Drosophila melanogaster: one gene and its partners. The protein of the gene in region 2 interacts with the protein of the main gene of each other region in a pairwise test. Each region holds a gene or a part of one and is shown on either strand. Other genes may lie near its edges.

Evidence for each region.
Region 1: the proteins of CG11030 (region 2) and CG12491 interact in a two-hybrid assay, tested with the Drosophila melanogaster proteins (one large-scale study listed by BioGRID).
Region 3: the proteins of CG11030 (region 2) and AnxB9 interact in a two-hybrid assay, tested with the Drosophila melanogaster proteins (one large-scale study listed by BioGRID).

What each region holds. Positions count from the first base shown.
Region 1 is NT_033778.4:23,746,404-23,754,917, forward strand, and holds CG12491 (uncharacterized protein), read left to right. Parts: upstream 1-4,242; 5' UTR 4,243-4,281; coding exon 4,282-4,755; 3' UTR 4,756-4,822; downstream 4,823-8,514. Other genes in the region: CG13560 (uncharacterized protein), read left to right, coding at 1,196-1,741; CG34105 (uncharacterized protein), read right to left, coding at 2,976-3,449; CG11300 (uncharacterized protein), read left to right, coding at 5,546-6,019; CG5532 (uncharacterized protein), read left to right, coding at 6,427-6,502, 6,562-6,824.
Region 2 is NT_033779.5:5,720,804-5,731,142, forward strand, and holds the start of CG11030 (uncharacterized protein), read left to right. Parts: upstream 1-3,852; 5' UTR 3,853-4,416; coding exon 4,417-4,425; intron 4,426-5,611; exon of another isoform or gene 5,612-6,659; coding exon of another isoform or gene 6,660-7,949; exon of another isoform or gene 7,950-8,008; intron 8,009-10,339. Other genes in the region: sip1 (septin interacting protein 1), read left to right, coding at 333-441, 493-2,771, 2,835-2,966; CG14006 (uncharacterized protein), read right to left, coding at 6,660-7,949.
Region 3 is NT_033777.3:21,060,179-21,073,437, forward strand, and holds AnxB9 (annexin B9), read left to right. Parts: upstream 1-5,062; 5' UTR 5,063-5,223; intron 5,224-5,704; exon of another isoform or gene 5,705-5,773; intron 5,774-7,267; 5' UTR 7,268-7,291; coding exon 7,292-7,321; intron 7,322-7,890; coding exon 7,891-8,599; intron 8,600-8,659; coding exon 8,660-8,841; intron 8,842-9,134; coding exon of another isoform or gene 9,135-9,188; exon of another isoform or gene 9,189-9,576; intron 9,577-10,099; coding exon of another isoform or gene 10,100-10,153; exon of another isoform or gene 10,154-10,361; intron 10,362-10,378; exon of another isoform or gene 10,379-10,545; coding exon 10,546-10,599; 3' UTR 10,600-10,739; downstream 10,740-13,259. Other genes in the region: cortactin, read right to left, coding at 2,048-3,156, 3,248-3,651, 3,720-3,886; r-l (rudimentary-like), read right to left, coding at 10,835-11,646, 12,311-12,827, 12,888-13,040.

The DNA of each region.
Region 1 (8,514 bases), on a different chromosome or scaffold from region 2:
GGCGCAATTAACCCATACACTTGCAGAAAAACTGCGACGAAAGCAGTTAGTTATTTTCGTAGCTGTGTTGCTGCTATTGTATTGTTGTTGTATCACTCACACTCATGCACACACATATGCGCGCTGGTCAGGTAGGTTACGTATGTGTGTGCGTGTGTTTGTTAGGCACTTTGAACTGAATGCTGGTAAGAATTGTAAAAACCACTTGTTGCACTGTTTTAAAGGCACTCGTCCAATTGGAGAGTGGCGCACGTGAATTTGCGATTCCTGCCGGTTGGCGGGCAACTGAAACGCACTCGCTGGCAGGTAAAAAAACAGACAATTGCCACGGTTTTCGGAGCGGAGCGATGCGATACGATATGATGATGACAGCGCCAACGCGAACACACGAACACCAGCGCAGCGAAAAACACCAACGAATCGAATTTGGATGGCGGGCGGCGAAGCGAAGGCGGTGGCTGGTGTGGCCAGTGCACGGCCGAGGCGGGAATACCACTGAGCGGCAACGTTGGTATTTTATTAGCCGGGTGGCAACGTCTCGCGGCGCGACTGTTAAGCAGTGTGACCGTTTCGTTTCGCTTCGATTCGAAATTGGATTTCGAAATCATTTTGAAAGATTGTATAGATTCCTTAGAACTGTTTATGGTAGTTCAGTAATTATTAATTCAGCTTTAATCACACGAACCTCTTCCATTAAAGAGTCAAAATCCCGCCATAAGCCTATCTCTTGAACCTTAGTAAAACTCGAACTCCACTGCGTTCAAGGCATTGCTATCTTATATTATTTTTATACATCCTTCAAAATCTCTATGAACCAAACACGCATCTGTTTTGCGGTTATTTAAATAAGGCCGAGTGCTAAAGCACTGCTAGAATGGCTGAATAGCTATTCAGTAGAACTCAAAACAATACCCGAGCTGCCTGTGTTTGCACACTTGCTTAGAATAAACTAGATCTAACAAATCCACAATTCCCCCATTGTTGACTTGTTCAAACAAATGTATTTTCGATAGTCATCGGCCAAATTGTCTCAAGAATATCCTACTAAGCCACGTGCGGCAAATGATGATGATTCGGAGCAAACACACAGTCTGAAAATGAACCAAAAAAATCGTGGGTGATGCGTATAAATACCCTAATTAAATGCAGAGAAAGTACAGTACTTGAGTACAGTGTTCAACGGACGGAGCTAAAGATGCGATTCCAATTCGTCCTGGCCTTTGGTCTTATTGCCATCTTGGCGACCGCTTATGCTGGTGGCGATACCACAGGCACCGGCAGCACGGGCACCGATACTACGGGGACCGGGAGCACGGGCACCGGGAGCACGGGCACCGGTAGCACCGGGAGCACGGGCACCGGTAGCACGGGCACTGGCAGCACCGGGAGCACGGGCACCGGTAGCACGGGCACTGGCAGCACCGGAAGCACGGGTACAGGCAGCACCGGAAGTACGGCCACTGGCAGCACCGGAAGTACGGGATCAACCACCTCTGGCAGCCCCAGCACCTCAACTGGCTCATCCTCGACTAATCCGTCTCCTTCCACAACCTCGCCCTCCACATCGCCCACCACGTCCACCTCCCCGAGCGACTCCTCATCCTCCGGCTCCAGCAGTAGCTCTTCGTCATCCAAGCGGAACCGCAAGGAGAGGCGTCGTCGCTACCGACGTCGTCAGAGACGCCAGGAGAGACGCCGTGAGAGGAGGGAGCGCCAGCGCCAGCAGCGCCGTCGGGGCTGAAATGGGAATCCCAACTCACATGACATTGTAACTCAATGCAAATAAAATTGTTACATGAAAAACCAATATAAACCCTAGATATAAATGTGAATGCAATTTTGTGTTGCATACCTTAAGACACCATAAGAGAAATGTTTTCAGTCCTCCACAGAATCACAGCATGTACCAGCAAGCTTTCTTAGCTCGCATAGCTTTCTCACTCCATTTGGTTCTATCTGAACTAGTGACTCGGCTTCATACTATCGTAGTAACGAATTTCCTAAAGTACAGAACGCCCGGAAAGTATGCAGAACATATATGAGACCTTGTTTCGAAATAAACTCACGAGGCTTTAGAACTAAAGATAATTAATTCCACGAAGTGTTTACGATTCAGTCCAAAAAAATTCGAAACGAGCACAAGATAGCTTTCGTTACAATCTGAAAGATATTTTATCGGATCACAGTACTATTAGAATCATACAAAATATATCAACAGATCGTCAGTCCATAAGCTGCTAAATAGGAAAGTCCGTGAGAGCCTCAAAGTCCTTGGACCCAACGCTACCTGGTCATCTCACGGCTTCTGCTGGATTCACTGCCTCTAGGCGAAGTGGGCGTGGATCAGCCGGTTGGGTTGACGTACCTGAAGGTGATGCTCTGGCTAGAAAGCCAGGGACAAATGACAAATCTCCAATTAGTTAGCAACTAAGCAAAACGGTTTTTTTTGGATTGGCTGGCTGAACGTATTGTTAGCATGTGTGCAAACACAGTACATTGTTTATTAAATAGATGAATATGTATTGTTAAGCCTTTTGAACAGAAAGCCATATTTAAATAACCTCTAAGCTTAAATATAGATTAAGATGGCATATTGTACATAAAGAATGAATTCTCACTAAAAGAAAACTTAGAACAAACTCCTATTTTTCACTTTCATTTGCAAGTTCCTAATCGATTAAGTTATCATCTGGAATTATGTCTGCACTTAGACCAGTTCCACTTGATCAACTAACTAGATCGGAAAATGATTTACTTAGGATTCTTCATTAGAGTATATAGTGTAGCCTTCTTCTTCTTTTCCAAGATGAAACCGAATATTGAATTTCTTTGTTTGACTAACAATTCGATCCAAATGATTTCACTTGTTTTTAAGGTGCCAAGTTACCAAGTCATAACTACGATTGTTGCTTTTGTGTATGCATTTATTTTTCAATTTGGACCATTTCATTGTTCGATCGGGTTAAGCCGATGGTTTATCCCCTACGTTGGCGCCTTCTTCCAGCACGACTCTGCTGGCGCCTTTCCTGCTGCCTCTCCCGGCGAATCTCCTGGCGCCTCTCCTGACGCCTCAGCCGCCGGAGCCTGCGAAGCCTGCGCCTCAGCCTGTCCACCTCCTCGCTGTCGGAGCTCGTGGAGGAGGAGGACGTGTCGCTGGACGTGGAGGGGGCCGTGGTTGTGGCAGTCGTCGATGAGGTGGAGGAAGTGGGCGAAGTGGAAGAAGAGCTGCTAGGAGTGGAGGACGAAGTAGACGTAGTGCTATTGCTGGACGGAGTTGAGGTGGAGGACGAAGAGCTGGGTGTCGAACTTGAGCTGGAAGTCGATGGAGTCGATGAATTGGAAGTGGGTGATGTGGAAGAGGACGAGTCGCTCGAGGATGAGTCGGTGCCACCATAAACGGTCGCCACGAGGACAACCAAACCAAAGGCCAGGACGAATTCGGGTCTCATCTTAAGCTCTGTCTGTTGAACACTGTACTCAAGTACTATACAGCATCCAGATCTGTGTCTGCTATTTATACGATCTATCTGGAGGGGTTTGGTCCAAAATCTCAATCCGTGGGTGGTTTACATCTTAGCATCTGGCACGTGGCCCAGTGTTTTGCTGAAAACGTCTGGAAAGCTGGAAAGGTTATTGTTGGGAAGTTAAACATTGAAGCAGTTGTTGATTTTCTGAAACAATCTACGGCACAGGCACTAGACAAATATAGTTTTTGACTAAGAAGTGACTAAGCAAAAATAGGTAATTGGACTATTCTGAATAAAATAACTAAATACAATAGGAACAATCAGTTCGTAAGATAAGGAAGGGTAAAGTGGCCATTCTACCCAGAATCCTTCAAGTTGGCTTTCCTAAAATGAATACTACAATGCAAGCAGAGTCACTTCGTGTTCTCTTTTAAGCAGCATATTATTATTCAAAGAAAGATTTAATCATCAATAAATGTGATAGAGCACTTAATATTTGCTTAATATTAAATGTTCTTATATTAAACATCCTCTAAGTTAAGCACTTTCTTCTTGAGCCGTATTGGCACATCCACTAAAAATAACACTGCGCAAATAGAAGCTCCATTGCTGTTGTAGATTCGACAAACATAGGAACTTTCCACACCTTGTTCAACAAAACACTGCCGCAAATGCCACATGTTAAGATCAAACTAAGACGACGCACAGATTGAGATTTTGGACCAAACCCCTCCAGATAGATCGTATAAATAGCAGACACAGATCTGGATGCTGTATAGTACTTGAGTACAGTGTTCAACAGACAGAGCTTAAGATGAGACCCGAATTCGTCCTGGCCTTTGGTTTGGTTGTCCTCGTGGCGACCGTTTATGGTGGCACCGACTCATCCTCGAGCGACTCGTCCTCTTCCACATCACCCACTTCCAATTCATCGACTCCATCGACTTCCAGCTCAAGTTCGACACCCAGCTCTTCGTCCTCCACCTCAACTCCGTCCAGCAATAGCACTACGTCTACTTCGTCCTCCACTCCTAGCAGCTCTTCTTCCACTTCGCCCACTTCCTCCACCTCATCGACGACTGCCACAACCACGGCCCCCTCCACGTCCAGCGACACGTCCTCCTCCTCCACGAGCTCCGACAGCGAGGAGGTGGACAGGCTGAGGCGCAGGCTTCGCAGGCTCCGGCGGCTGAGGCGTCAGGAGAGGCGCCAGGAGATTCGCCGGGAGAGGCAGCAGGAAAGGCGCCAGCAGAGTCGTGCTGGAAGAAGGCGCCAACGTAGGGGATAAACCATCGGCTTAACCCGATCGAACAATGAAATGGTCCAAATTGAAAAATAAATGCATACACAAAAGCAACAATCGTAGTTATGACTTGGTAACTTGGCACCTTAAAAACAAGTGAAATCATTTGGATCGAATTGTTAGTCAAACAAAGAAATTCAATATTCGGTTTCATCTTGGAAAAGAAGAAGAAGGCTACACTATATACTCTAATGAAGAATCCTAAGTAAATCATTTTCCGATCTAGTTAGTTGATCAAGTGGAACTGGTCTAAGTGCAGACATAATTCCAGATGATAACTTAATCGATTAGGAACTTGCAAATGAAAGTGAAAAATAGGAGTTTGTTCTAAGTTTTCTTTTAGTGAGAATTCATTCTTTATGTACAATATGCCATCTTAATCTTTATTTAAGCTTAGAGGTTATTTAAATATGGCTTTCTGTTCAAAAGGCTTAACAATACATATTCATCTATTTAATAAACAATGTACCGTGTTTGCACACATGCTAACAATACGTTCAGCCAGCCAATCCAAAAAAAAACCGTTTTGTTTAATTACTAACGAATTAGAACTTTCCACAGCCATCAACAGCTTTCGCGCTTACAGAGAAGATAGTCTCGTCTTTTTATTGAGTTTAATCTATTTGTCTTGACGAGAACGTAAAATGTACTCTAAAACATTCAAAGCAAACACAGATTCGACAATTAAAGCGAATCAAGTGGATCATCCCTATAAATACTCGGATTTAAACCACTATCCACACAGTACTCCATTTAGTGACAAACTGAGCTGAAGATGCGTTGCCAATTCGTTATCGCCTTTGGGCTTTTGGCCCTAATAGCAACTGCCTACGCCGATTCTCCACCTGCGGCAGGATCCCCACCCGCGTCATCTCCACCGGCTGGAACCCCAACCTCGCCACCTCCAGCGACTGGAACACCGCCCTCACCATCCCCAGCGACTGGAACACCACCTTCAGCATCCCCAGCTGCTGGTACACCGACCTCGCCAACTCCAGCGACTGGAACACCGTCCTCGCCAGCTACTCCTGATGCGCCCGCTTCCTCGACATCACCAGCTACGCCCACATCGCCCAGTGACAGTGGATCCAGCAGCAGCCAGGAAGTGATTAGGCTCAGGCGTCGGCTGCGCCGGCTGAGGCGTCAGCTCCGCCGCGAGAGGCGTCAGGCCAACCAGAGTAATCAGAATGGAGGTGGTGGTCAGGGGCGAGTGGTTCGCCGTGTACACCGTCACCGTCGTCTATTGTAAAATTCACGAACATGTTGGCTACGAATTTGAAATAAAATTCCAGACAGAAATGCAATAAATCTAAAAAAAACATAAATGTATTGAATGGCTTTTTAAATTAGAGGAACCATCGCTCTTTTTGTAATGCATACATTAGTAAACTAACTTATATTTGCCCAACAAACTTTCTAAACATTGCAATGAATATTTCGAATAGAAGCGTTCTAAACATTGAAATAAATATTCTGATTAGGAAGTTCGTTGCACATATTTAATTCAAAATGACCGCGAAACGGTGCTGCCAGATGTCTGAATTTCGTGCACTGCGGAGCGGATCTTCTTTCTACTAAGGCAGGAAGGGTCATACTAACACCTCCACTTCTCACCAAAACAAAGGTTACCCCGAAATTTAATCAAAATAAATCGAAATGCCGGTGGATTGGTTCGGATATGTGTACGCAGCCACGGTCGCCGCCGGAGGAATCATGGGATACGCCAAGGCGGGTAAGTGACCAGCCCCCTGACCGTGGTCATGTCCGATTGTGCAACGCCCTGCATTCCAGGTTCCATTCCCTCGCTGGGTGCTGGTCTGGCCTTCGGAGCCCTGCTCGGCTATGGCGCCCACCTCAACTCCCAGGACACGCCTCGTCCCCTGCTCCAGTTGGGCACCTCCCTGTTCCTGGCCGGGCTGATGGGCGCCCGCTGGAACCGATCCGGAAAACTGATGCCCGCCGGAATGGTGTGCATGCTATCCGTGGCCGCCTTGGTCAAGAACCTGGCCACCTATAATCGCTACCTAATGCCCGCCGGCACAAAGGCCCCTTAGGCTAATTTCCGGCCACATGCTGGACTTGCCAGGAGATTGCCCTACCTTCATTCTTCATTCGTATTGAATAGGTTTTCTACTTTTCGGTGATTGGAACTTTGGTAATGCGCTGTGTCACTTTCTAAGATAGTGATTAGGAACTGTACTTGCTGCAAATATATTTTATCACCTATGCTTTTAACTTGTGGACTTCTTTGTACTCAATTGTAATACTTGGTCACATTTAATAGCATACTTTCAGGCACTTTGGTATGACAGTTCGCATAGAAGCACAGAAATACACCATTTCGTACATTCAAATCTTTTTTTGTATATTTATTGTTTAACTTAGCTTTTGTTTCTTTTGTGTGTGTGATAAATTTACAGTTTCATCTATTATACGATGTTCAGTTAACTACAACTAAAACTTAGCTATTACATTTTGTTGCTGCATGAAAAGAGCATTAGGCTAGGTAAACGTAGAGTGATGGATTTTTTTTTTTTTTTAGAATTTAGGCTTCTAACAAGTTTATTACAATAATGAAGTGAATAATTTGAGTTTTCTGCAGGCAAAGTGCGGCAAGGTAAGTATATTATCGATTCTCCACCTTTCTAGCATTTTCCCAACAGGAAACGATAAATATTTGTTAAGTAGAGTGTACAAATTATATATGTTTATCACATTGGAAAGTGGGATTATTATTAAATTTCCTTTCGATTGATTTGTGGCTCAAGAAATAATTTAGGTTGTCTGCCGAAAGTGCGTGCATGTGTAGATGAAGTTTTTACAGAATTATATGTACTATTTTACAAAATTGTTTGCATTTTGCATTAAATTAGATTACATAATATATGCGTGTACTGAACATAACAACATTGCTGGCTGCTGCGTTGCCCTCAGCAAACAGGCAATCATTTAAATTAGAATTAGCTGCGGCTAGAACTAACAACAAATCAATAGGGTTTCGTACAGAGTATAATAGTAATAAATTCTAGCTAAAAACACTTTAAGCTGCAAACACTTCTTCCAATTTCGATGGCAGTGACGTCTGCGTGCCAGTTCCAAACGTTCCCCCAATGCGGCTGCATTTTCACACTTTCACTAGAACGGAAACAGCTTCCAGTTAACCACTGCGGATGCCGGATGCGGAATGCGGTAACGAAACGGAAGCGAGGAAGAAAGAGAGAAAAACGCAGGAAATTAGTGATTGTGGTAGCATACAATTCTCGTGGGGCGTGCAAAAACAATGAGCTAATTTGGGAAGTTTTATTTCGTATGCATTAGATAAATATATATTTTTTGCAGACGCCGGCCATTTTGAATTGTGTGGGTGGTTGTGGTTGTGTGGTATGTGCGTGTGTTCCATTCCATGCGTTTCCACTTGCCAAATTACTCTGTTTCACTCTTGCCATTTTGCTGTCTTAGTTTTAGTATGCAGAATGCGTTCTTGATTCCATGCCACTCTTGTTGATCAAATAGAATACTTAATTGCTACAGTTAAAGATGTTCTGATGTAGTTTCGATCGGTTTTGCCTTCAAACAGTGTGTATGCGTGTGTGGTGGTGTGAGAGAAGGAGCGTGTGTGTTTGTATGCTGGTATGTGTGTGCATGTTTCAATGCCAATTTGGTTTCTAGTTCGATTTTATAGTTTTTTAATGTGTGGGGCGAGTGTTCGATGCAATTTTGGAAAAAAAAAAAATAGGCCGAGAA
Region 2 (10,339 bases):
CTTTTGAAATCGGATTCTCAAGTATTTCATACTGCGTACTTATGCTAATTAAAAGGGAGCTCATTCTGTTAGGAATGAACTTACTAAACTAATAATAGTTCGGTAATTGAGTCAATTAGTTGTGGTTTTCAATTGTCAAAAAATTTAAATTTATTTTGGCGCCGATAAGCGATACTAATAGTGTACTAAAGTTAGTATTTAGTACTTTTGTATCGATTTTCTTATCGATAAAATTGCTAATTTAGGGCCATCCCTATTGTCAATGGTGCGTTTGTTTACATTCACAAAAGTTTCAGTTTCTGCTGTAAGTAATATATACACGTCTAGCCAGGATGTCGGACAACGATTACGAGCGTTTCGAGATAACGGACTACGATCTGGACAATGAGTTCAACATCAATCGGCCCCGAGGCCGCCAGAGCAGGCACCAACAGATCTACGGTATGTATTGAAATACATGCCGGAATTTGTTTGTAAACGAACTTTCTGTAGGTATTTGGGCGGATGACAGCGAGGAGGAGAGTGGTGGCGAGGGCGGAACTAAGAGAAGGGGGCGCGCCGCCCGTAAACCCAAAGACTACACCATGCCCGTCAATTTTGTGGCCGGCGGCATTCAGCAGGCGGGCAAAAAGAAGAAGAAGGCGCTCCAAGCCGATGATGAGAAAGGATCGCAAAAAGAGGGAGCAGAGGCTGACCAGGGCGAGGAGAGCGACGATTCCGCCGCCAGCGGACGGCCAGCCTTCGGCCAGAACGATCCGGGCAGCTCCAACAGCTCATCAGAAGAGGAGAGGCCAACGCTGAGCCGGAAACAGCCAAGCACCACATTTCAGCATCGCTCCCACATCGCCAGCGAGCGCAACGTGGGCGCCTGGGAGCAGCATACACGCGGCATTGGAGCTAAGCTACTCCTTCAAATGGGCTATGAGCCTGGCAAGGGTTTGGGCAAAGATCTGCAGGGCATTTCGCATCCTGTGCAAGCCCATGTCCGCAAGGGCAGAGGTGCTATCGGCGCCTATGGACCCGAAACTGCGGCAAGCATCGGAGGAAAGACGAACAAGAGCATCAAAGTGGATGAGGACGTGCGCGAGGCGAAAGAGTTCAAAGACCAGCTGAACAAGTGGCGAAAGGGCTCAGCCGGTGGCGCCGAACCAATGGAGCGGCAGGGTAAGCGCTACTACTACAAGTCCGTGGAGGAGGTGATTGCCAAGGGTCACACGTCCGGCCACCTACTGTCGGAGAAGCTAAGCAAGAAACTGGGCAATGTGCGGGTGATCGATATGACAGGCCCAGAGAAACGAGTGCTGAGTGGCTATCATGCCTTGGGACAGGCAAAAATTACGCCAGAGGAGACGCTCTACGACACGGAGGCGACGGAAAAGGGATCCGCTCCCGCCTGCGTTTTTGCCATGCCCGAGCTGACGCACAACCTCCAGCTCTTGGTTAGCCAGTGCGAGCAGCAGATCATCGCCATCGACAACCAGGAACGCGAGTGTTCCAGCCAGCAGGCAGCGCTGGAAAGCGAGCACCGGAAACTGGAGGAGATAGTCCAGCTAGAACGAAACCACATACGCACGCTGGAGGAATCGTTGGAGCGCGTGGAGCGGTTAATCGATAATCCAGACTTGAGTTTACCTCAGGCTGAACGACTCTTTCGGGAGCTGCTCGTGGACTACGCTGCCGAATTCCATGAGTTCGGACTTGCAGATCTGGCAGCCGGTGTAATAGCGCCGCTCCTGAAGCGAGAACTAGTTCAGTGGCAGCCACTGGAAAACCCAACGGAACCGCTGCCACTCATCAAGAAATGGCGCGGCATGCTCCAGCAAGGAGATGCAGCAGAGCAGCAGCCCCGCAACGTCTTCGATCCGTACTCCTCGCTCATCTGGGCCGGCGTGATGCCTTCGTTTCGGTCCAGCGCTGCCGCATGGCAGCCGAAGGAGCATCCGCCAATGGCTTCACTCCTAGATGCCTGGGCACCCCTGCTACCTAGCTGGGTCTTGGATTCGGTTCTCGAGCAACTGGTTCTGCCACGACTGGTGGCTGGTGTCCAGGAGTGGGATCCGCTCACCGACACCGTTCCGATCGACAGTTGGGTGCTGCCGTGGCATGCCATCTTGGGCAGCAAGCTGGAGGAGGCCGTCTATCCTCAGATCCGCAGCAAATTGGGTATAGCATTGCGCGCCTGGTCACCGCATGACCGATCAGCCAGAGCCATGCTTACGCCCTGGCAGAAGGCCTTCCCCGAGGAAGAGATGCAAGAGTTCCTGCAGCGGTACATAGTGCCCAAACTGCAGGCGACTCTAGGCGAGCTCATCATCAATCCAATGCACCAGGACCTGGAGCTGTGGCAGCAGGTATGGGAGTGGCACGAGCTCATCGATCCCATGTACATGGCCCAACTACTGGACAGACACTTCTTCCCGCGCTGGATGCAAGTGCTCGTCGTCTGGCTGAATCAGTCGCCGGACTACGCGGAGATCTCGCGATGGTACACCGGCTGGAAGAGCATGTTGAGCGAACCGCTTCTGCGCGAGCCCAGCGTTAAAGAGCATCTGCGGCGAGCACTGGAAATTATGCACAGAGCCAGCGATACCCTGCTGCAGCCCACGGTGACGCCCACGCCCCCGCCTCCAGTTCCTCCGGCTCCAGTCATAATGATGGACCTGATTCATCCGCCCGCTCAGCTGGAGTTCAAAGAGTTGGTATCGCAGCAATGCGCCGACTTGGGAATCATCTTCGCTCCTCTGCCAGGGCGACGGGAGATGGGCAAACAGGTGACTGTTAATCCATTTTCGACCACAGAGCGTTATATACTAATAGATTTATTGCATTTACAGATTTATCGTGTGGGAAAGCTGTTTTGCTACATCGATCGTCACGTCTGCATGGTCAGCGATGGCAGCTTCAGCAACTGGAAGCCGGTGTCGCTAAATCATCTGCTAGAACGCTCTCAAACGGGAATTCTTTAAATAAATAGCTGCGAAAATGTTTAATTGGCTTGGAAAATGTTTAATTGGATTGGATCAGAAGCTTAGCTCTTGCTGTTCCCTAATAAGTTTGTAATATAAGGTGATTGTATGATGAGATGGCTCTGCAGATATAAGCAAATGTCTAAATATATATGTAAAAGTAATCAGATATATTATTCTGTATAAAATTGAAACGGATTTGAATATTTTTGAAATTGATATGATTACATCCAAGTTTTTCACCACGGTTTGGGTCCGAGCTGCATGCTCCATGAATTTAAGATGTAAATATACTGGCAGTATTTTTCGGTATATATTTATTTTGTGGGAGCATGGGTTTGTAACGTGCGCGTTGAAGTAGAAGTACACTAGAAGTATCTTTAGTGTCTTTGGTTGAACCGATTAATAAATCTTTAAAGTCGAAATTTGATTGTTAATAATGTGGTTTATGACATGGATTGGCTGTGGTGCTAGAGAAGGCGGCATTATTAAATAAATTTAAACTCCTTCGCTGTGAGGCGGATTTCTGGAAATCGGTGGATAATTTTTAAAGCATTTTTCAGGATCATTATATAATTAGGCTTAGCCTATTAGCCTATAGGGACACGGTAGTTTAGATCAGCGGGACACAATTCGCAAAAAAAAAGTCCCCGAGTTCCAATTTCCACCGTTCCGCTATCGTCGCTAATTTGACGCACATTTATTATACATTATTATTATTATTATTATTATTTTCTTCTCATTTAACTTTTTTTACAAAAATATGGAAATAATGTTTGAAAAACCGGAGCGGCCCATGCAACTAATCGATATCCGCAGCCGGGCAACGATGATGGATAGATAGATAAATACATCGATAGTATCGGCTTGTCATCGGCCCGCTGCCACCTCTGGCCATCGCAGCTGACTCTAGAACGCGTCGTGGAAATAGGAATAAACTGACTGAGTTCGCGTTCGGTTCGTTTGGCGCACGCAAAGCAAGCAAGTAGTGAGCCAGATGCGGTTCGAAACGGTGCAGTCAACTGAAGCTCGCGTAGTGCAATACAATTAATTGTAAAACCAAGACACAAGCACTCCTATCGCGATAGGCACTGTTAGCAAATTGAAACCGCGTGTCTTTCGTTTCGCTTCTCCCGCTCTTTCGTTGCACTTCGCCCACACTATTCGCCAATGCAGTCGTGAGTGCGTGTGTGCGTGCGTATTCCCCCCCAAATTCAATGAATTCGACAGGCGGTGCAATAAAAGCGCAACTAAAACAAAAGTGATTCCACCACGTGCGCCACTCTCTCGCGTCTTAAGTTCAGTTGTTGTAGCTGGTTTCGTTTGTTTTGCTGGCGTCTCGCTCTAACAGCTCCCACTGCTAAATTTACCGCTCGCCGAACAACCGGCACGGAAATATCCGTTGGATTAGGAGGACTCACTAACGGGACACCCGCAAAAGGACATCAAAATGGTGCAGGTGTGTAATATATTTAATTTTAAAGCACGACTATATCAAAGAAGCTTAAATGGTTGTTCAATAATATTCCTGAACATAACATAATGAAAATATTATATCCATCTATCACTACTAAGATACAGGTGTTAAGTTTGCTAGTTATTTGCTAGTTATAATTTGTTGTATTATTCTAAATACACTAGATTCAGCTACAGTTTTTTACAGTACGGTCTTTATTTATACTAAATAATAATCAAAACCGCTTTTTATAAAATGGAATACTATCCATCAAAAATGTATATCCTTTCTTTAAACCCTAAAAATACTGCTTATGATAATCGAAACGATTATTTAACGTCAGATTTTGTGGTATATCAGCATCTTAAGCGCATTATCCTCGATTGCCAGTTTGGTATAATTTTAAGTTTTACACGAAATTAATTTTATACACTTTAATATCTTGAACACTAAATCCATGTGCTAGTATTATTTATTTGCCATCAATCTACGTAAATCTATGTTGGTTTCGAAAAAAAATTCATTTCTAGTTTCCAATTCAATGATATTCCACCCTGCCACTGACCTTTTGACGCCATCACGCACAACCCCCATAATCCCGAAACGGGACACCACAGCTCAAAATGCACTTTTTAGCGACCATCCCGAGTCGATTCGCGCCTCACCACCCAACCCAAGTCAGTCTCAACCCACCCAAAAACCCAACACAACCCCCACTTCACCCCTGGCTGCACTCTTCCTAGTCCAAATCAACCACCAAAACCGGAAAGTTTCGAAAATTATACAGCTGATATAGAAAACTGGCAAGCTTGGAGAGTTATGGGAAATATGGCAATTAGAAATGGTTGGTCGTGCTTCGATATCGACAGACGGGGTCCGCCCGTACAGGTCGCCTTCGAACGTAATGCACACAAAACGGCGCATTTAGTCAATTTTTCCTACAGCCAAGCATACCAACTGAAAAGAGAAACATCCAATGTGATGGAACCATTGGGATTGCCACTAGCTGATACCCTTCTATTTCAGTTAAACATGCACAAGTCAAAAGAAGTGTATTTTAAACTGTTATCTTGAACTATATTTCATGAATACTGTTTATCGAATATCATTAAACTAGGTTTTAGATATTATCCATAATAATAAAATAATAAAACATAAACCATTGAAAGGTTATCAAAGTATAGTATTTGCCATGCCTGCTCTTCTTCGTGATACCCTGTATTCATTCCGATGTGGAGAAACGAATCCTCTGGTTAGTCACCTGCCGCCGTTTCCCCGCGCCAAATGAGTGAAGTACCACTTTTCGATTTGAAATGCGTTTTGCGCCTGCCCCGGCCAACTGTCCACCATACCCCACCGCCCACTCATCACTGCGTCCAGCAACAGCCCAACCGCCTCCATCCACATGGTCGTCAAAGCGCTTTTTACCCATTTGCATTTGCATTTGCCGATGCCCGGGCCGAGGAGTAGGTCCTTGGTCCCTGCATGGGGTGGGCACTGCGTGGTGGGCTAGTGAACAGTGGGCAGTGGGTGGATTCATTGCGCTTTGGACTGCGTTCAATAGCCAAAGCGAACGAACATTTCTGACGTTTGACCGAACTTTGTTGTTGTTCCAGTGCTGCAGCTGCATCAGCATCAGTATCAGCAGCCTGCTCCTCCGCTCCTGTGCCTATTGGTAAACTGCTGGGCAGGATGGGAGGTAATAGGCACATTTGTGCCCCCCACACCCCAACACCCGAACACCCCTTCGCCTCACAGCGCATGGAGGCCAGTCTCTTATTTTGTAACTCCATGCGCCAACGAATGTCAAAAGCACAAAAATTTCAACGAGGATAACAGGCACGGACGCATGCTAATCAGGACAATTAAGTTAAAAGCGGCACGGATGCAGCTCCATGGACGTCTGCTTAGGAGGTTTTAACTTGAGTTCAGCCGTTATTCACCACTATTATTCTTGATTCCTATATTGGGTGATTAAACGATTAAAGAATATTTATATACACATGGATTTAATTGTTTATAAAGCATAAAAACATATCGAATCTGTTATCTCAGTCCTTTGGTGATTAATGATTGCCATCTATGGGTTTGGGTTTATGAGTTTGCCTATAGATTTCCCCACCCATCGACAACCTCTTTCATAAGGCAACTTATCGTGGCAAATGGAAAATTTTCGCAATCTATTCGATTGAAGTGGATCGAGTCCTGGCCCGATTTCGTGTAGGTTGTCGGTTATTTTATCTCATAAATGTGGAGCTGCTTTTCGCGTTTGAATAGTGAAGATTGCGATATAAGGAGGTCAAATGGGGTTCTGGACGGGGTGATCTAGTCGGGGTACACTGGTGACATCTGTTGAAGCAGTTCCGCTCGGTAGGTCGTCTAGATTCATAGATTAAGGCATTATCCTGATCCTCCTGCTCGCGATAAAAGCCCATGTTATGTTTGTTTTGGCTAAAACTCCTGCTAAAACCACTGCTTTCGGATGAACGATTATCGTATTCGGATCGCACGATCCGAAGATATGAGTCTTGATAAGGGACGTCCTGATTCTCGATTTCCACCTGGACCATTGGTTTAACGGAGCCCCTTTTGTAGCAAGCGTATAGGGTTTTGAGCCAGCGTATTACAGTCAAAAGTTCCGGCCAGGGCATCAACAGCATAAGGCAGGTCATCCCAAAGCCCCTGTGATCGGATGCAGTGAGAATCAGCAAGTAGGAGGTGCCCTTCAGCAAGCGGTGATGCAGGCGGCGAAACAGAGTGCACCGCCACAAAAAGCTGCAGCGCTGGGAGGCGGACTTCAGCAACCAGGCGCCACTGACCAGCGCCAAGGTTATCACGGTGGGCCGCTCGTTTAGCACCAGCTTGAAGTTCACCTTGAGCGTTCCGAGTCGCAGGTACCGCTCGCCATCAGATGCCATTAGGGTGGCTGCGACCGCCAACAAACCCGCCAGGTGGGCGCCCAGGGCCGCAGCTGAGCAGTAGAAGAAAAGCAGCGAATCCGCCAGGAGCGGACAGCTTAACCATAAAACGATGCCAAAGGTGAACTGGCTTACCCGCTCAAGGTCGAAACTGATCACTTCAAGCGTGAGGACGAACGGTTTGGATGTGTAGATGCCGTAACAGGAGTGCTCATACGTGGCCATCGGAACGATCCGTGGCTCGTCTGCTGCGGAATGCCCCAAGGGCTTTCCTTCGTGGCACTCATCCAGCTGGCTATGCGCATGATGAACTTCCCGCACGGTGGCTCCTTTATACTGAGTGTAATCTTCGCCAGCGGCTATCTGCAGGCGCAGGCGGTTGCTCTGGAAGACATTCCACATGGAGAACGCTGTTGGCGGCTGGCAGTAGACCTGGACCTGGTTGTTCACGTACAGCATGTTAAGCAGCGTCTGTCCTTCCTGGATGTGGGGCTCACCAGGACGCAGATACGTCGCCTGCTGCTCGTAAAATACATTATCCCAGTTCACGAACGAGGATGCTGCATAGTTTAGCCCAAGGATAACGAAAGCGAGCAGAGGAGCCCACATTGGATGTTAGTGTTTATATTAAATATGTTTGGGATCTATATGGGGTACGAGTTTCAAAGAAAATTTCCAGATTTTATGAGCAGGGCTGCTTCGATGGAAATACATCTAGGAAACATACATTTATCTTAGACTAGCATATATAGTATATCGCTTAGCTCTAGATATATTCATATCTATCGGCTAAGTTTAGGTTTTGCAACTATTTCTCAAGCTGCAGAAGCTTCATAGTATCAAGTTGGCGAAAATAGGGAATATTTGCCGACGAAAAATGTGTCTCTCTGGCATTCTAAGCTGCCTTCTCCCATTCAGATTTTTTTTCCAGGACGTTCGAATCCTTTGTGCCCCATTTTCCTTCAATTTTTCGTTGCCATTCCTTTCTACGTCGTTCGTTCCATTTCTTTGCATTTCAATAGCGACTTTTTCTACGTGGACCAGCGAAATGCGTATGGGCTGATGACTGACTTTGGACCACGCGTACTAACTACTACGAAGGACATGGGGCACAAAAACTCACTACGAGCGTGGTACTACACGCCAAACCCCCTTCTCCTCCGCCTCTTTTTTTTTGCCAAAAGTCAGGGGCAACAATGAAGGAGGAACAAAATAAAACACAGCGCTCGTTCCATCAAAGTGGAAGTCGCGGCCTGCAAAGGATATAAAAGCAAACAGAAAGCTGGACACAAATAAAAAAAAACGAGGAAAGTCGAAAAAAAGCAAGGAAAAGCCGGGAAAGGAAACTGGGGAAAGGCAGAAATCCCCGCACAAAGTGGCAACCGGAAACTAACAACAAACACTGAATGCAGGAGCAACCGAGATGGCAGATACATATATGTATGTACATCTTGGTCGGCGGAGGAGGGAGCAGGGCGGCATGCTTTTTTGCATTATGGCCAAAAATCGAACTGGAATTTCTGCAAATTTTTTCGCCCCGCTCCTTGTTGTTGCTGCCTTTGGCCTGCTCTGCTGTGTGGCTATCATTGCGTTCGTTTGCAACGCATCGGGCTTTTTTGGCCTGATGGTGGGCATTGGGCGATGGGCGGTGGTCGTGTGGGCGGGAATGGGGCTGGGAGACAGCCGGTGGCCTCATGCATTTTCCGTGTTTCGTATTGTGCGCAAAATAAATTGGTAAACAAGCGAGCAGGCCAGAAAGAGATGGGCTCGGAGAGCGAGAGGGGGAATGTCCTGGTCAATGGCAATACATACACGACATCCGGATCGTACATAGTCCCCAGTGCAGTTGTGTGCAGGTCCTCGTTTTCCGACTGCATTTCGGTGTGTGCCATACTTCCACCGGCCGCCCGCCCACTTCCACCCATTTGCTCTCTCTCTCTCTCTCGCTCTCTGGTGAATTGCACTTTGTCCCTCAGCTGCCACGACCCCCATCCCCCGTTCACGCCCCTTTTTTATATTTCTGGCCACCGAAATAGGCTGCGTCGCTGTCGCTGCCGCCATTTTCACCAGCTTCGCCGTCCACGTATCCATTCGCAACACCCTGCCACCCTCCCATTCCCACCTCCCCCAAAAAATTGCCCACCACCCCCCGAAAAGCCGACGCACCCGCCTCCAGCACTCGCGCCTCTGCCCCACGCATGTATTTCAGCCGCCGCCGTTGTTGTTTTCCCGGTCGCTGCATTGGCTGACGCTTCTCGAGCGCTGCTTTTGTGCACAGTGAGCCAGGAAACTATGCAATCAGTCAAAACAAAAATAGCACTCGAACTGAATTACTCCCCAGAGTTTTCAGTGTGTATAATTGCAGGGTATTCACGCATAAAAACTGTATGAAATGTATAAAGCACAATGTTTAAGGATCTCTTTTATATCATTAGAATCGTTAATTAGGTCATATCATATCATTCGTATTCAAAAGTTTTGTAACTTAGCAGCTTTGATCTCTAAAATAGTTTGGGATAGAGCTTTAAAAAATCTAAAAAAAATGATATAGCATCAAATTACAAATTGAAGCAAAATAATATACTATTAATTTATAAATATTAATTGAAATTAATTTTGCTCCATTCGCTGAAGTGTAAGAAGTCTAACGCACAGTGCCCACTGTGCCAATCCAATCGGCAGTTGCGCCATATAAAACGATTGAAACACAGCGCGACATTTCTGTTGCTGTTGCCACTGCTGCTGCAGCAACCTGATGTAGTTGCTGCTGCTGCTGTTGCTATGTGTGCCAGGCAAAAGGCCAAACGCATGTGTGGTCAGGATCCCCCCCTGCGTGCGGCGGAGTGCAGGACAAGGAACTCGGTGCACAGGAGTACATAAACTACATAGGGAGCGAGCGAGAACGAGGGTAAAAATCGAACACACTTCTCGGGCGAGTGAATGAAACGAGCCTATGTACAAAGGCATCCTCTGCACATGAGAGCCGGCCAGGACATGTG
Region 3 (13,259 bases), on a different chromosome or scaffold from region 2:
CACACCTGCGTGCGCACTCACACACACACACGAAATATTGATGGAGATGTAAATTATTGGGCAACTCAGGTTAAACAGCACTTCCTACCAGTTAATGGCTTACTTGCAACTGGGGGTTAACTAATTGGAGCCCTCGCCTTTATTATATCACAATCTCGGCACTTGTGGCAGCTTATAAATGCATTTTCCTGCTTTTCTCGCGGAGCAATTTACGAAATTTACGAATTCCGTGACGTTGTACGGCCGAAACAAGAGTGGTGATGGTCGCAGTAAACGAAGCAGAGAAATGACGAAGAAGCGGACGGTTTGGCTGCCAATTGCTGACTTAGTTAACGACAATTGACGAGCGTGCAGGCAATTTGTGCTCAGCCGTGAGCGCAGCTCTTTGTTTATTAATTTTCCTCACAATATTTGAGATTCTGCCACCAGCTGCTTTCTTTTGCACGCACACTCACTCGCCTCTCACATGCACACTGTCTTTTCGTCTGTGCCCAATGTGGCAACCTGCGGCCACTCTCTCTTCTTTGACTTGCCGAAATCTGGCAACACTCGACAAGAGTACTAACCTTATCGGCCAAACTGAAGTTTTAACTCTGAGCCCACGCGATCGAGTGACTGACTATAGCATTTTGCGGTAGCCCCTATTTATTCAAAATATCTCTCTCTCGCGTCGGCAAGTGAGAAAAAGAAAGACAGAAAGAGAGAGAGAGAGAGTGTGTGCGTGGGAGAAAGACCACTGCTTTTTTTTGAGGGGAGATTTTTTGATAAGGCCTGAGATTTGGATTTTTGAAGGCCCCAGAAATACCGCCTAAGATTTGAACATGCATTTGAAATACCGGTTTGTACATCGACCGCAGGTTACCGTTAGAAATGTTATGCGGGATACATAGTTAAGTTGCATACCCTTTGAGTTACAATCACTAGTTAATAATATCTACGTTATTACCAACACGCACACTTTATCGTAATACCTCCTTGAAGTTTAATTTATACATCAACTTTATCAGTCAAAACTTTGATTTCGTCTGACACTTTTTTCGATTACGATCCGTCGCCAATAATTGCGATAAATCTTATCAAGTCTTTTTGGGATTGGCGCTCAAATTTACAATATGGCCGTACATCCTACTTATGTATGTTTTTTAACTAATTAATCACCACAATGCAAAGTACTCTTTCTTTGTTGAGCCCATATGCACTCACATTTGCACCATGAATCATGTCAGTAGCTCGTTTCATGTAACAATTTCTACTTTGCCAGATTACGATGCGTTCGGAACAGGCAGATAAGAATTCGGCCCATCCAAGAAAGGCCTTGACAGTTCTACCCCAAAATAGAGATATCCTCGTGATATTAGAAGGAACCCAACAATATGCTCGTTCTTATCTTCTTATAGAAATTTGTGAATTCCCGTATCCAATGAAATCATTTTACTTAGTAAAATGATTTGTTAGGCCTTAAAAAAAAACAAAAACACCCGAACTATCAGTACCACAATTTAAGAGAGAACTCGTTATTATTTAACTTTATTAATTATGTATTTCTTTATCAAAAGAGCAGACTTTTTGTTTGTGACTGTCTTCAACATTAGATCCGTCTTTAACATTAGATCAGATCACCTGACACGGGAAACTCTCGTAGACTTTATACAATTCAAAAAAACCAAAATCGTTACTTGACACAAATATCATAACTAATGCATAAAATATGAAATGAGAGATATCTAAAATAGCTTGGCATATTTTCTTGGTAAAATAAATGTGTTAAATACAAAGAATGTAAAATGCAATAAATGATACATATATCAAAAATGGAATACCACGGTTACTTTAAGTGCTAGCATAACAAATTACAATAATAATTCAATATCTAGCCATTCGTTGCACATAATTTGGAGGGTTAAGAGGGTAAACAATGGATGGGAAATGGGCTGGGTTAGTTGCGAATTGGTTTATATGGTTTATAATCCAACATCAGTATTATCGTTTTCGTTAGTATGTAAATACAATTTGATTTTGTTCTATCGTGAATTTCAATTGGAAGCTTTTATGAGTTCTGTCCCACCACCTGCACGTAGTTGGCTGGAAAGAGTCCGTAGCGGTTCTTGCACAATCCCCTCCACCACCCATCGTCGATCTTCTCGATGTGGGTGATCACGTCATCTGGATCAAAGGATATCTCGTCGTCATCCGCCGCCTGGTAGTCGTACAGGGCAATGGCGTGGATTCCGGTGTCCTCCAGATAGTCGGCCAAATTGTCTGAGTTCGCGTAGATTGCCTCCTCGGGAACGGTTGCGGTGCCACTCGGAGCAACAGCCTCTGAAACGGTTCCATTCGTTGGTGGCAAGGGCGAGGCAGCCTTAATCTCGGCCTGGTTCTGGTACAGTGGCTCTTCTTCAACTACTGGCTCAGGATCGGCTTGAGGTTGCGGCTCAGGTTGGACTTGGACTTGGGCGTGGACTTCGGGTTGAGGCGTCGGCACATACACTGGTGATTGCGGCTCACTTCTGGGAGGCGTGTCCACGGTCTCAACCTCAATTTGGGGCACCACATCTGGTGGTGGAGCTGCAGCCTTGGCCACTGGAGCTGTTTCCGGCTCTCGAGCGGGGACCACTGTCGGAGTAGGAGCAACCGCAGCTGATGTTGTACTTGCCGTTGGCTCCTCCTTTGCTTCTAATTCTATTTTAACAGGCTGCGCCTTGGGAATGATAATGGGTTCCTTTCGTGCTGGAGGGGTTTCAGAAACAGGCGACTGCATCTGGTTAAATGCACTGATAGCATTGCCAATGCCACCGGTCCGACCTGTCTGGATGGCCGCCCTGCTGCCCTTTGGAGGCGGTGCTTCCGTCGAGGTACGAGGAGTGTTCTCGGCCACAGTCTTCTTGGCGGCTTCCTCCCGATCCCGCTTGTCCTTGGCCTCACGGAGACGTTTCTGTTCCTCGGCCCGCTTACGTGACTCCTCCTCGGAGTTTTTAGCCAGATTCTCGAACTTGGCACGCAAATTGGAAGGCTTGGCACCTTCGATGACTGGCTTGACCTTGTGGTCCACCTGGCTGGCGTGCTTCTGCGGAGCCTCTTTGTGGTCCCATCCCACCGCGGACTTGTCCTTTCGGTCCTCCTGAACGCCAAACTTGCCGCCAAAGCCCTTGGAGTAATCTTATGTTGGGAGAAGATATAAATAAAATAATCAGACATGAACATACTAAGAAAAAATCAATGAGAAATTCATTTCCGTTAGGTAACTTACCCTTCTGAGACTCGTGCTTCTCCACCTTCTCGATGTGATCCCAGCCCACGGCGGATTTATCCACCCGATCGGACTGCACTCCAAATTTGCCTCCGAAGCCGGTGGCGTAATCCTTCTGGGAGGCGTGCTTCTCGACCTTTTCGACGTGGTCCCAGCCCACGGCAGACTTGTCCTTGCGATCCTCTTGCACTCCGAACTTTCCCCCAAAACCATCGCTGTAGTCCTTCTGCGAGGCGTGCTTTCCCACCTTGCCCTGGTAGTCATGACCCACAGCCGACTTGTCCATGCGGTCCTTCTCAACGCCAAACTTGCCCCCGTATCCGTATCCTGCGTTCTGATCCTTCAGCAGCTGCTTCTTCTTGTCCAGATCGGCCTGCTCCGTCTCCTCGCGCAGCTTGTCCATGCTAAAAAGAATAAAGAAAGGGAACAATGAACCCGATACCCAGTGTTTCGAGAATTTCGGATGACTCACTCGATGGTGCCTGCTGTGCGACCGCTGCCGTCGATCGTCTTTGATCCCCAGCGCTGCTCCTGCTCACTGACATCGTTCACGAAGTCCGGATCCGTCTCCCAGTCGTCGTCCTCCGCGGAGGCTGCACTGGTGGCCTGAATCTGGTGACCGGCACTTGCCTTCCACATTCTTTTTACCGGTTTCTGGTCGCTGGTTACTCGCTTATCCTTATCTGCTGGGTAGATAGATAAACACCATGACGAGTGTGAGTAGTCGGGGCAGGTTTTCAGTTGCAGGGGCTCCGCTTCCGATTCGTGGCCCAGATAACAAGTCACAAAACACCGAAGAAGGGAGGGGCCGACAAAGCCGGATCGGGAACAAGATGCCACTGGCGCTCTATGTTCATATGTATACTCACATCCCGATGACTAACTCCTACTGCAAGAGGAACTTATGATCTGATGCCGCTAGGGATGTCTGCAAATTTCTGGGAGGAGAAGGGTTAAACAATTGATTCATAAAGAGACCAACAAACGGGAAACTAACTGAACTAAATTTCATTCGATACAATGGATGCATCGATATGCTACGAAAAGCCGATAAATTATTGTGATGAGCTTGACAAAAGGTAGTTGCTGCAGTTTTAGGGGCGCCCAATTTAAATGATTAAGAGATACAGTCGTGGTTCTTTTACTTTATTCGATAAGTCAATGCACCGATATATACTGCAGTACCAATATATGTGATCGTGATCAATAGAACTGAGTGCTCGGGCAAAAGGTATTTGATGTTATACCAAGTGGCGCCATAGTAATTTGTATAATTAATAAGATTCTGCCAGAACGGTAATTAACAGGTATAAGAGTTGACTTTTTTCATATAACCGCAAACATATCATCGATATATCGATAGTTTTGGATTTGAATTTGCTTCGATGTCGGCTGACAATTAACGTAATTGGTTTTTATATATAGTTATAAAAATACAAATAAAAATAGTTATAAAACGGCTTAGGAAGGAACAGGATATTTATTTAACTGTATTGCCCTAACGGCTGAATATTGAAGTCAAAGGTTACATTTTGAAATTCAATGCGTAATCAGATCTTATTTTCCCAATGTCGTCATTATCACAACGGAAATATCATGAATGTCTCAACAGCTTCCAATGCCGATGATTCATCCATCTCGGAACACTTTAGATTCTACGGTGTATACTATGACGACGCAGAAGATACCAGCTTCCAGTTAGGCGCTACCACCGAATATTTCCTAGCAACAACAACCTATCGCCGGTTGGTTCATCTCTAATCGACTTCCAGCGAGAGAGCGCGAGTATAAAAGCCAAAGACGGAGCGCAAACAGCTATGGTATTTATTCACATCGCTTGCAGTTCGCATCGTCTGACTTGTACGTTGAAAATCGAATATCATTGGTAAATCAAAAGGAATTTGTAGATAAAACTCATTGTTTACTCTCGCTGTGCCAGAAATCGCAAAAAATCAAGCGGAAAATCAGTCGGAAAAGTGAGAAAAGAAAGTGTGTGCTAAACACTCAAAGATAATTTTCATTTGTGCCATTCCAAAATGGGCATTTTGTAGAATTCTAGTTGTGGGTGCGGTATCGCGAGAATTCTCCAGAATCTTGTTTCTCTATTTACTTTATATTTCAATAATAAAAGCCTCGGGTGGGAGAAAAATTCAAAACCGAAAGATGACATCATCAAACTCAAAAGCAAAAGCCCCACTCTTTTGGCGTTTTCTCTCGCGACGCGTGTGACTTTTCTCATCTCCGACGAAATCTAAGTAAACTTTTCTGTTCCTTTCTTGCTTTCCCATTTTACGTAGGAATGAGAAGCGGAATTTTTCGAAATATCTCTATCCCCCAGTGCCCTGCTTAATTTAGTAATTCAATCAACTTCAATTGCCCGACAGGCACTTCAAACTACAGTAAGCACTGTGTATGAGCGCCTGTGCCTTGCTCAGCATTACTCACCGGAATCGGATGTGGCCACATTCCACCGTCCACAAAATATAGTAGTAGTGTACTCGAGGCCGTGCAATTATAGTAGAATAGGTGTGTCATCAAGGTTTATTACTAAGTGAATTGCTCAGTGCATTTGCAAAACATTTTTGAAACATTTCGAGGTACAGTCCATCGAGGTCTCCAAAAGAAGTTGGCAAAAGCTTTTGTTTATGGAGTTTTTCACACATGGTCACGAGCTATTCCAGTTTTTACACCTATATTATAATATCTCTTTTTTAAAGTCGTGCTCAGAGCTTAAAATTGACGTCACAAATCTGGTGAATCACTGAGTGCTGTAATTTCAATGTATCATCAGTCTATTTCAAGAACAACATTACCAGATACGCTATGCTAAAGCATATCTATCAATCTTGTTTTTTCCAGACCCCAACCACTTTTTATAATGAAACAAAAGAATTGTAATTAAGGGTGTTTTCAAACACAAATGTGTTTTCTACATTGAGGTCAAACTATTACGGAGAACTCCAATCAATATTTAGAGAGTCTAACCAATTATTATTGATTACATTATTCTCAACTTGCATTATAATTTATTTAAAAAGAAATCATATATTAACTAAAGTAGTCTATAAACACTAGAATCTTGAGTTTAATTGTACGCCATACGTAAAAGAACCGGTTTCAACGTTGGCCAAAACATTTTGTTTGTTTATAGCTCGACTGCAGAGGCGTTTGTAGTTGTATCTTTTTGTTAACTTTTTTGTTTTTTTGGATGGCGTCGCCACGTCAAGTCTTTTATAATGCTTTTTTCGGCTGCCTTTTGTTGACTTTCTACTTTGGCGGCAGCATAGAAAGGCAAACATGTATTTTCAGCACTGTCGCACTGTGATTACTAATTTGGGGAAGCTATCAAAAATCTCAATCCATTTATCATTAGGTAATTTGGCCCTATTGATTTTAGGGATTATGTGGACTAGTCCCTCGAGATAGTGTTCCACTTGACAACTGAAGTGGAGTGGTAGATCTAGAACGCAAACGGGTGACGAGTCAGACATTTCCCTGAAGCTTTCTCTTGGCCACAACCAAGCCGTGCCCGATGTTTTCCAAGCCAGAACGCAATGAGCTCATCCGTTTATGAGGCCACTTCGTGTGGGTTTGGTCTGGCCTATCACGAAACTGCCGCGCCATGCCATTTGGCTATCAGACGCACCCGGTTCCAAGGTTCGTTCCTCCGCAAACTGCGTACTGAAAAGTGGAAACTTTCACTTTTCCCCGGCAGTACGTTGAACTTCGATTTGGGCACCGGTCGGCAAGGAAAACTAAAAAAAAAAACATCTCGGTAAATAAACTAGGAAAAAAAATCAATGGGTAAAAATGCTCTCAGACCAGCGCCAGGCTGGCTACGGGGCGTATGCGTAATGTGAGGCTTTTACGAGTTGATGATGTCACCAGGCAGGAATTAACCGAAGGCCGGGCTTATTGGGTCTGGGAAACATAACGTATCCAACATTGCTGGGGGTTCAGTTTTCATCACGATTTCGGCGTAGCCATTATTCATTATGATTTCTCACTTCCTACTTACAGATTTTTCACAACAAACCAATCAAAATGAGTTCCGCTGAGTACTACCCATTCAAGGTGAGTTTACAATGGATTGTACTTTATGAGTCTGGTATAAATCAATTATTTCATGCGATTAGCGCCGTTAATGTAAAAAATCAGATCAAATTAGATTCAACAGATAGATGAGAATATCTTAATATTATTTTTTCTAAAACGTGTGTTGTTGTCAAGTAAGCAAGATTTTTCTCGATGCAATCTATAAATTATTACAACGACCAGATGCTACGAAATTATCTATAATTGGGCTATTAAATTATCATCAGAGGTGTATACTAGACAATCGTTGACAAACAAGTACCGATTGGTGGGAGAAGAGAGTGATAAGAGGGTTTCAGTTATGAGTTCCTTAGATAAGAGTCACAACGAAAAAAAAAGTCAATTTAGAAAGCTAACTTTATTGCAGAGGAATTCATGCAATACTGAGATAATACATGTAGGGAATAACCACATATGTATTTGTATTTAGAACAAGTGCCACTGAGTAGTGTTGAGTCATTTCTTTGGGATTACGTGCCCTGCATTAAAATACACCCAATTCTTCTTTGTTGTTACTCATTTGCTGATTGCCTATATTCGATTTGCAGTGCACACCCACTGTCTACCCGGCGGATCCCTTCGATCCCGTCGAGGATGCGGCTATTCTGCGCAAGGCGATGAAAGGCTTCGGCACCGACGAGAAGGCCATCATCGAGATCCTGGCCAGGCGTGGCATCGTCCAGCGTTTGGAGATCGCTGAGGCGTTCAAGACCTCGTACGGCAAGGACCTGATCTCGGACCTCAAGTCCGAACTGGGCGGCAAATTCGAGGATGTTATCCTGGCTCTGATGACGCCGCTGCCCCAGTTCTATGCCCAGGAGCTGCACGACGCCATCTCGGGACTGGGAACCGACGAGGAGGCCATCATCGAGATCCTCTGCACGCTGTCCAACTACGGCATCAAGACCATTGCCCAGTTCTACGAGCAGAGCTTCGGCAAGTCCCTAGAGTCCGACCTGAAGGGCGACACCAGTGGCCACTTCAAGCGGCTGTGTGTCTCGCTCGTCCAGGGCAACCGGGATGAGAACCAGGGCGTGGACGAGGCCGCGGCCATCGCCGATGCCCAGGCTCTGCACGACGCCGGCGAGGGACAGTGGGGCACAGATGAGTCCACCTTCAACTCGATCCTGATCACCCGCTCCTACCAGCAGCTGCGCCAGATCTTCCTCGAATACGAGAATCTGTCGGGCAACGACATCGAGAAGGCCATCAAGCGGGAGTTTAGCGGCTCCGTGGAGAAGGGTTTCCTGGCCATCGGTACGTTCTTATAGCATCCTATTCTTTAGGGTCCCTTCTAACTGATGCATTGCTCTGCAGTCAAGTGCTGCAAGTCCAAGATCGACTACTTTTCGGAGCGCCTGCACGACTCAATGGCCGGCATGGGCACCAAGGACAAGACGCTGATCCGCATCATTGTCAGCCGGTCGGAGATCGATCTGGGTGACATCAAGGAGGCATTCCAGAACAAGTACGGCAAGAGCTTGGAGTCCTGGATCAAGGTAAATACCGATTTCAATTACATTCATATCTGCGTGTGCTTGCCAGAACTTTCGATTCTGCACCCTGTTCAATGTGCCACTAACTCGCATTCGATTGCACCTGCAACAAATCCCATTAATTGTGGCTCCATCAAAGTTTAATAATCGTTCATCCAAGCTGGCTTCTCCTGTTGTTGTTACTGCTCCTTTGCCCAACACTTTCTTGCCGATTTCTGAAGCCATTATCCCTTCCCGCCCGATTGCTTCATTTGTGTGCATAAAACATTAAAACTTGGCATATTCTATATTTTTAGGGCGATACATCCGGCGATTATAAGCGTGCCCTATTGGCTATTGTTGGCTTCTAAAAAGAACCCCATCCAACAATAATTTATCTCTTTCGTCTGTTCCACGCTCTAAACTATATGCAAACAGAATGTACAAACAAAATTCCGATATCAAATAGTTGACAATGTATAGTTTTTGAATTGGAACACGTTTTAACGAAGACGCAGTGCATTTAAGTCGTAGAATCAGAACCCCAGTCTCGCATCCTGTTGATTATTATAACCATTGTGACTTTTATTATTATGACTATGCACGCCACATGCACATAATTGTATCTCTATAATTACTACACCTCAGGCTACTTGCATTGCTGTGTAGGTATACTTTCAGTTTTGTTTTGAGTCTCATTTGCAAGATATTTTAACTTTTAAAAAATACGAAAATAAAAAATACGAAAAAATGAAATACAAAATTCAAATCGAGTTTCTGTTACCTTTAGCAGAGGTCTCTGCACTGCTTGTCATGTAAATAACAGCGCTACATTGGGTCGCCTAACATCAAAACATTAAACATTAAAAAGGGCGTGGATTAAACCAACTTAAAAATCGATTTAAATGGGGCTAAATGAGTATATTAGCCCTCTTTAATTGTCTATATAAACTAGATCAGCAAGTGTATAAGGTATACAAACTGTTAAATATAGTTCAATTTAGATCTAAATATACTTGCACTGCTTGCTAAAAGTACATGTCAATTACATGTAAATATAATGTACATACAATTTCAAGATGTAAAACTTTAAATGTTATGTTAAATTTGAAAGACATTCATTTGCTGATCAGGTAGATATATAGTTGATTACCCCTTGGAGGAGTAGCTTCCGGCAATTAACCAAACCATAAGCCATGTATACAAAGTAAAAGGCGTTTAATGCTCTGACCCTCTGCTCTTTTCACGCTTTTCTCTACCCGTTTAAACGAACCAACAACAGGAGGATGCCGAGACCGATATTGGATACGTCCTGGTCACTCTTACGGCTTGGTAGACGGAAGCAGCCGGAATATCCGAATATCTATGAGCAATACCCCACTGTTCAAGTAGAAAATGCCAAAAACAAAAAAACGTTGCATTTCCCCAAAAAAAAGTATAACAAAAGCGAAGAACAAATGGAGTTGGTCTATATACAGTAGTTGTGATGTGTTCTAAAAATCCAATCTACAAAACGCTTAGTATTTTCCCTCTGTGCAATAACGTCTAACGTTCAACGATTATTTAACATTTTTACGTATTTTTATTTTGTATACATGTCTTTTTTTATTGTAAATTATGGCGCATCAAAGTCGTATGCGTAGTTTGTGCTTGTATTAACTAATAAAGTTGGCTTACACTCAACGGCAAAGCTGGGTCACATTCACCATCCACTGATCTCCTTTCCAGGACGACCTCTCCGGAGACTACAGCTACGTCTTGCAGTGCCTGGCCTCCTACTAAGGATTTCCTCGTTGGATCGATTGTTAACCATTCTATTTGTTGTAACTCTTACTTTAAGGCAAGCATCGTTTGCCAACTGTTTTGCGGAAGATTCATAGCCTATGTTCAATTCATAAATGCACTGTAAAATCGCGGTAAATAATTGGAAGATTTTTTCACTTATCTAGGGTAACCGAAACCAAGGGGGAATGGGTATTGGGGAATATTCGTTAAGGGGGAATGCTGTTTGGGTTTTCTACTTGGCAACTCGATCCTGGTAGGCTGCCCACAGGCGGTCGCGGTACGTCTGAGCCGCCTGCTTCGGGCTGCTGGCCTTCAGAATGCCCCTGCCCACCACTCCGATGTCGGCACCCCGCTCCTTGACCACATGCTCCGGACTCTGGTACTGCTGGCCCAATTGGTCCACGCCCTCGTCTATCTTCACACCGGGCGTCAGTTGCAGAAGTCCGGGGAAGGCAAAGGCATCGGAGGATTGGCATACCACACCGGCAACGAAATCTACATCGGCTCCCTCGGTTGCGATCTTGTTGCTGTTCTCCTTGTACTTGGCGTCGATCAGGTTGCCGCTGGCAGACATCTCCGCCAGCAGGAAGACGCCGCGTTCCTTGCCGGCTCCTCCTTCGCCAAGGCCCGCCTTCAGACCCTGCAGAATACTACGTCCAGGTAAGGTGTGGGCCGTGACCAGATCTGCCCAACTGGAAATCTTATAGATGCCCTTGCCGTACTGCAGGGACACCGTGTTGCCGATGTCTGCAAACTTGCGATCCTCCATCAGCAGGAAATTGTGCCGCTGGGCCAGAGCTTGCAGGTCAGCGATGAATTTATCACTGAAATCCTCCACAATGTCTACGTGCGTCTTCAGCAGGCAAATGTACGGACCGCACTTGTCGGCCACGTCCAGGATCTCATCGGCGTGTGTCAGGTCGGCGGCCAAGCAGAGGTTCGTCTGTTTGCTGGCTATCAGGTTGAAGAGGCGCTTGGCCACCGCGCTCTTAGCCAGATTGGCGCGATTCTCGTAGGTCAGTTTAGTGCGCTGCAAGTCGTTGGCTGCGGGGAAAGTGATGGTGATTAGTTAACACTTCAATTTTGAAACGTGCACGTAGACCTATCTTATCGCCTCTTCTTATCGCTATATGGTTGTTTTGTACCTATGCCAATTTTCTTCAATAGCTTCACACTTTGGCGATCCCAAAGTACATAACTCTTTTCAACTGGGAATCAATTTTGGCTATTGTTTATACAGTATCTTAAGAGTATATACAAAAGTTACTCCCCAAAGGCAAAGACGATGATTATGATGAGATTAGAATACTGTGACTTTACAGGTGGAAACAAAAAGCAAACCGGTTCCCATACATCTCATCAAAGCGCCATAAACGAAATGTGATTATTTATAGAAGATGGGCTTGATTGAAGGAGCAGGCTGGCTCTCGAGTGGGCTGATAAGCGTGGTGGCATAATTGAGTGCGGACCGGACACTGCCCTGAATCAGAATCACGTGCCGCATTCCCGGGAATGATCCGGTCCGATAGTGGAATCCAGATCGGCCTACCGCCGTTTATGGCGGTTGTATAACTTTATAGTAGCGCGACTGGAGCGCTCCCTAATTGAATTTGTTCGAGGCCATGTGCTGGCCGAGTGTCATGTACTTATTATCTATCTATGCATCTATCTATCTGGCAGATATCACGGGGATCTGGAGCATACGCACCTCTGACAACGTCGCCCTTATCGCCGCCGACGAAGGTACCATCGCTGTTGATTTGCACGGCGGCGATGTACTTGGCCACCGCCTCCACTGTGGACTTCTCGATGCGCCCGGCCTCGTGAAGTGTGTTCAGCAGAAAGGAGAGCGTGAAGAGCGAGTGCATCCGCACGCCGTGCTTGGCGATGTTGGCCACTCCGCCCTGCTCACGGTCTACGACGACCACGGCGTCGGTGACCACAATGCCCTCGCCTTGCAGATCCCGCACCGTGTCCAGGATGCTGGAGCCGGAGGTGACCACGTCCTCGACAATCAGACAGGTGTCGCCAGCATTGAAGATGCCCTCGACCAGCTTCTTGGTGCCGTACGCCTTGGCCTCCTTGCGCCGCACCAGCATGGGAGTTCCCTGCTGCACGGACACAATGGTGGCCAGCGGGAGCGCCGTGTAGGGAACACCGCACACGTGTTTGGCGCTCAGCTGCTTGTCCTTGATGTGTTCCACCAGCAGGTCGGATACGGTTTGCTGCGGGAAGACCAAGTTAGCTACTGCCATTGACATGGAGCACTAATCCCAAATACTGACCATCACATCCGGATAACTGACGATCACTCGGAGGTCGAAGTAGACCGGCGAATTTATGCCCACTTTCATCTTGAAGTCGCCGAACTTGAAGGCATTGATCTCGAAGAGCTTCAGGGCCAGGGCCCGCATTTTGTCGGAGTTCTGGGCAACCATGCTGGCAATTCTAAATCTCGATCTTAATTCTTCACACACGTGCTAGCTAGGCTCCAATAAGAACCGTCCAATTGGGAGTCTACGCTTTTTAAACATGCTGCCAGTGTGCACGTATCTGCTGTGACATTGGGGCACATTTCGAACACCCTAATTAAGGTACAAGTTCTGGTTGCGCCGCCTGGGTGGTTAACTTCGCTATGCCGCCAAACTTATCGAAGT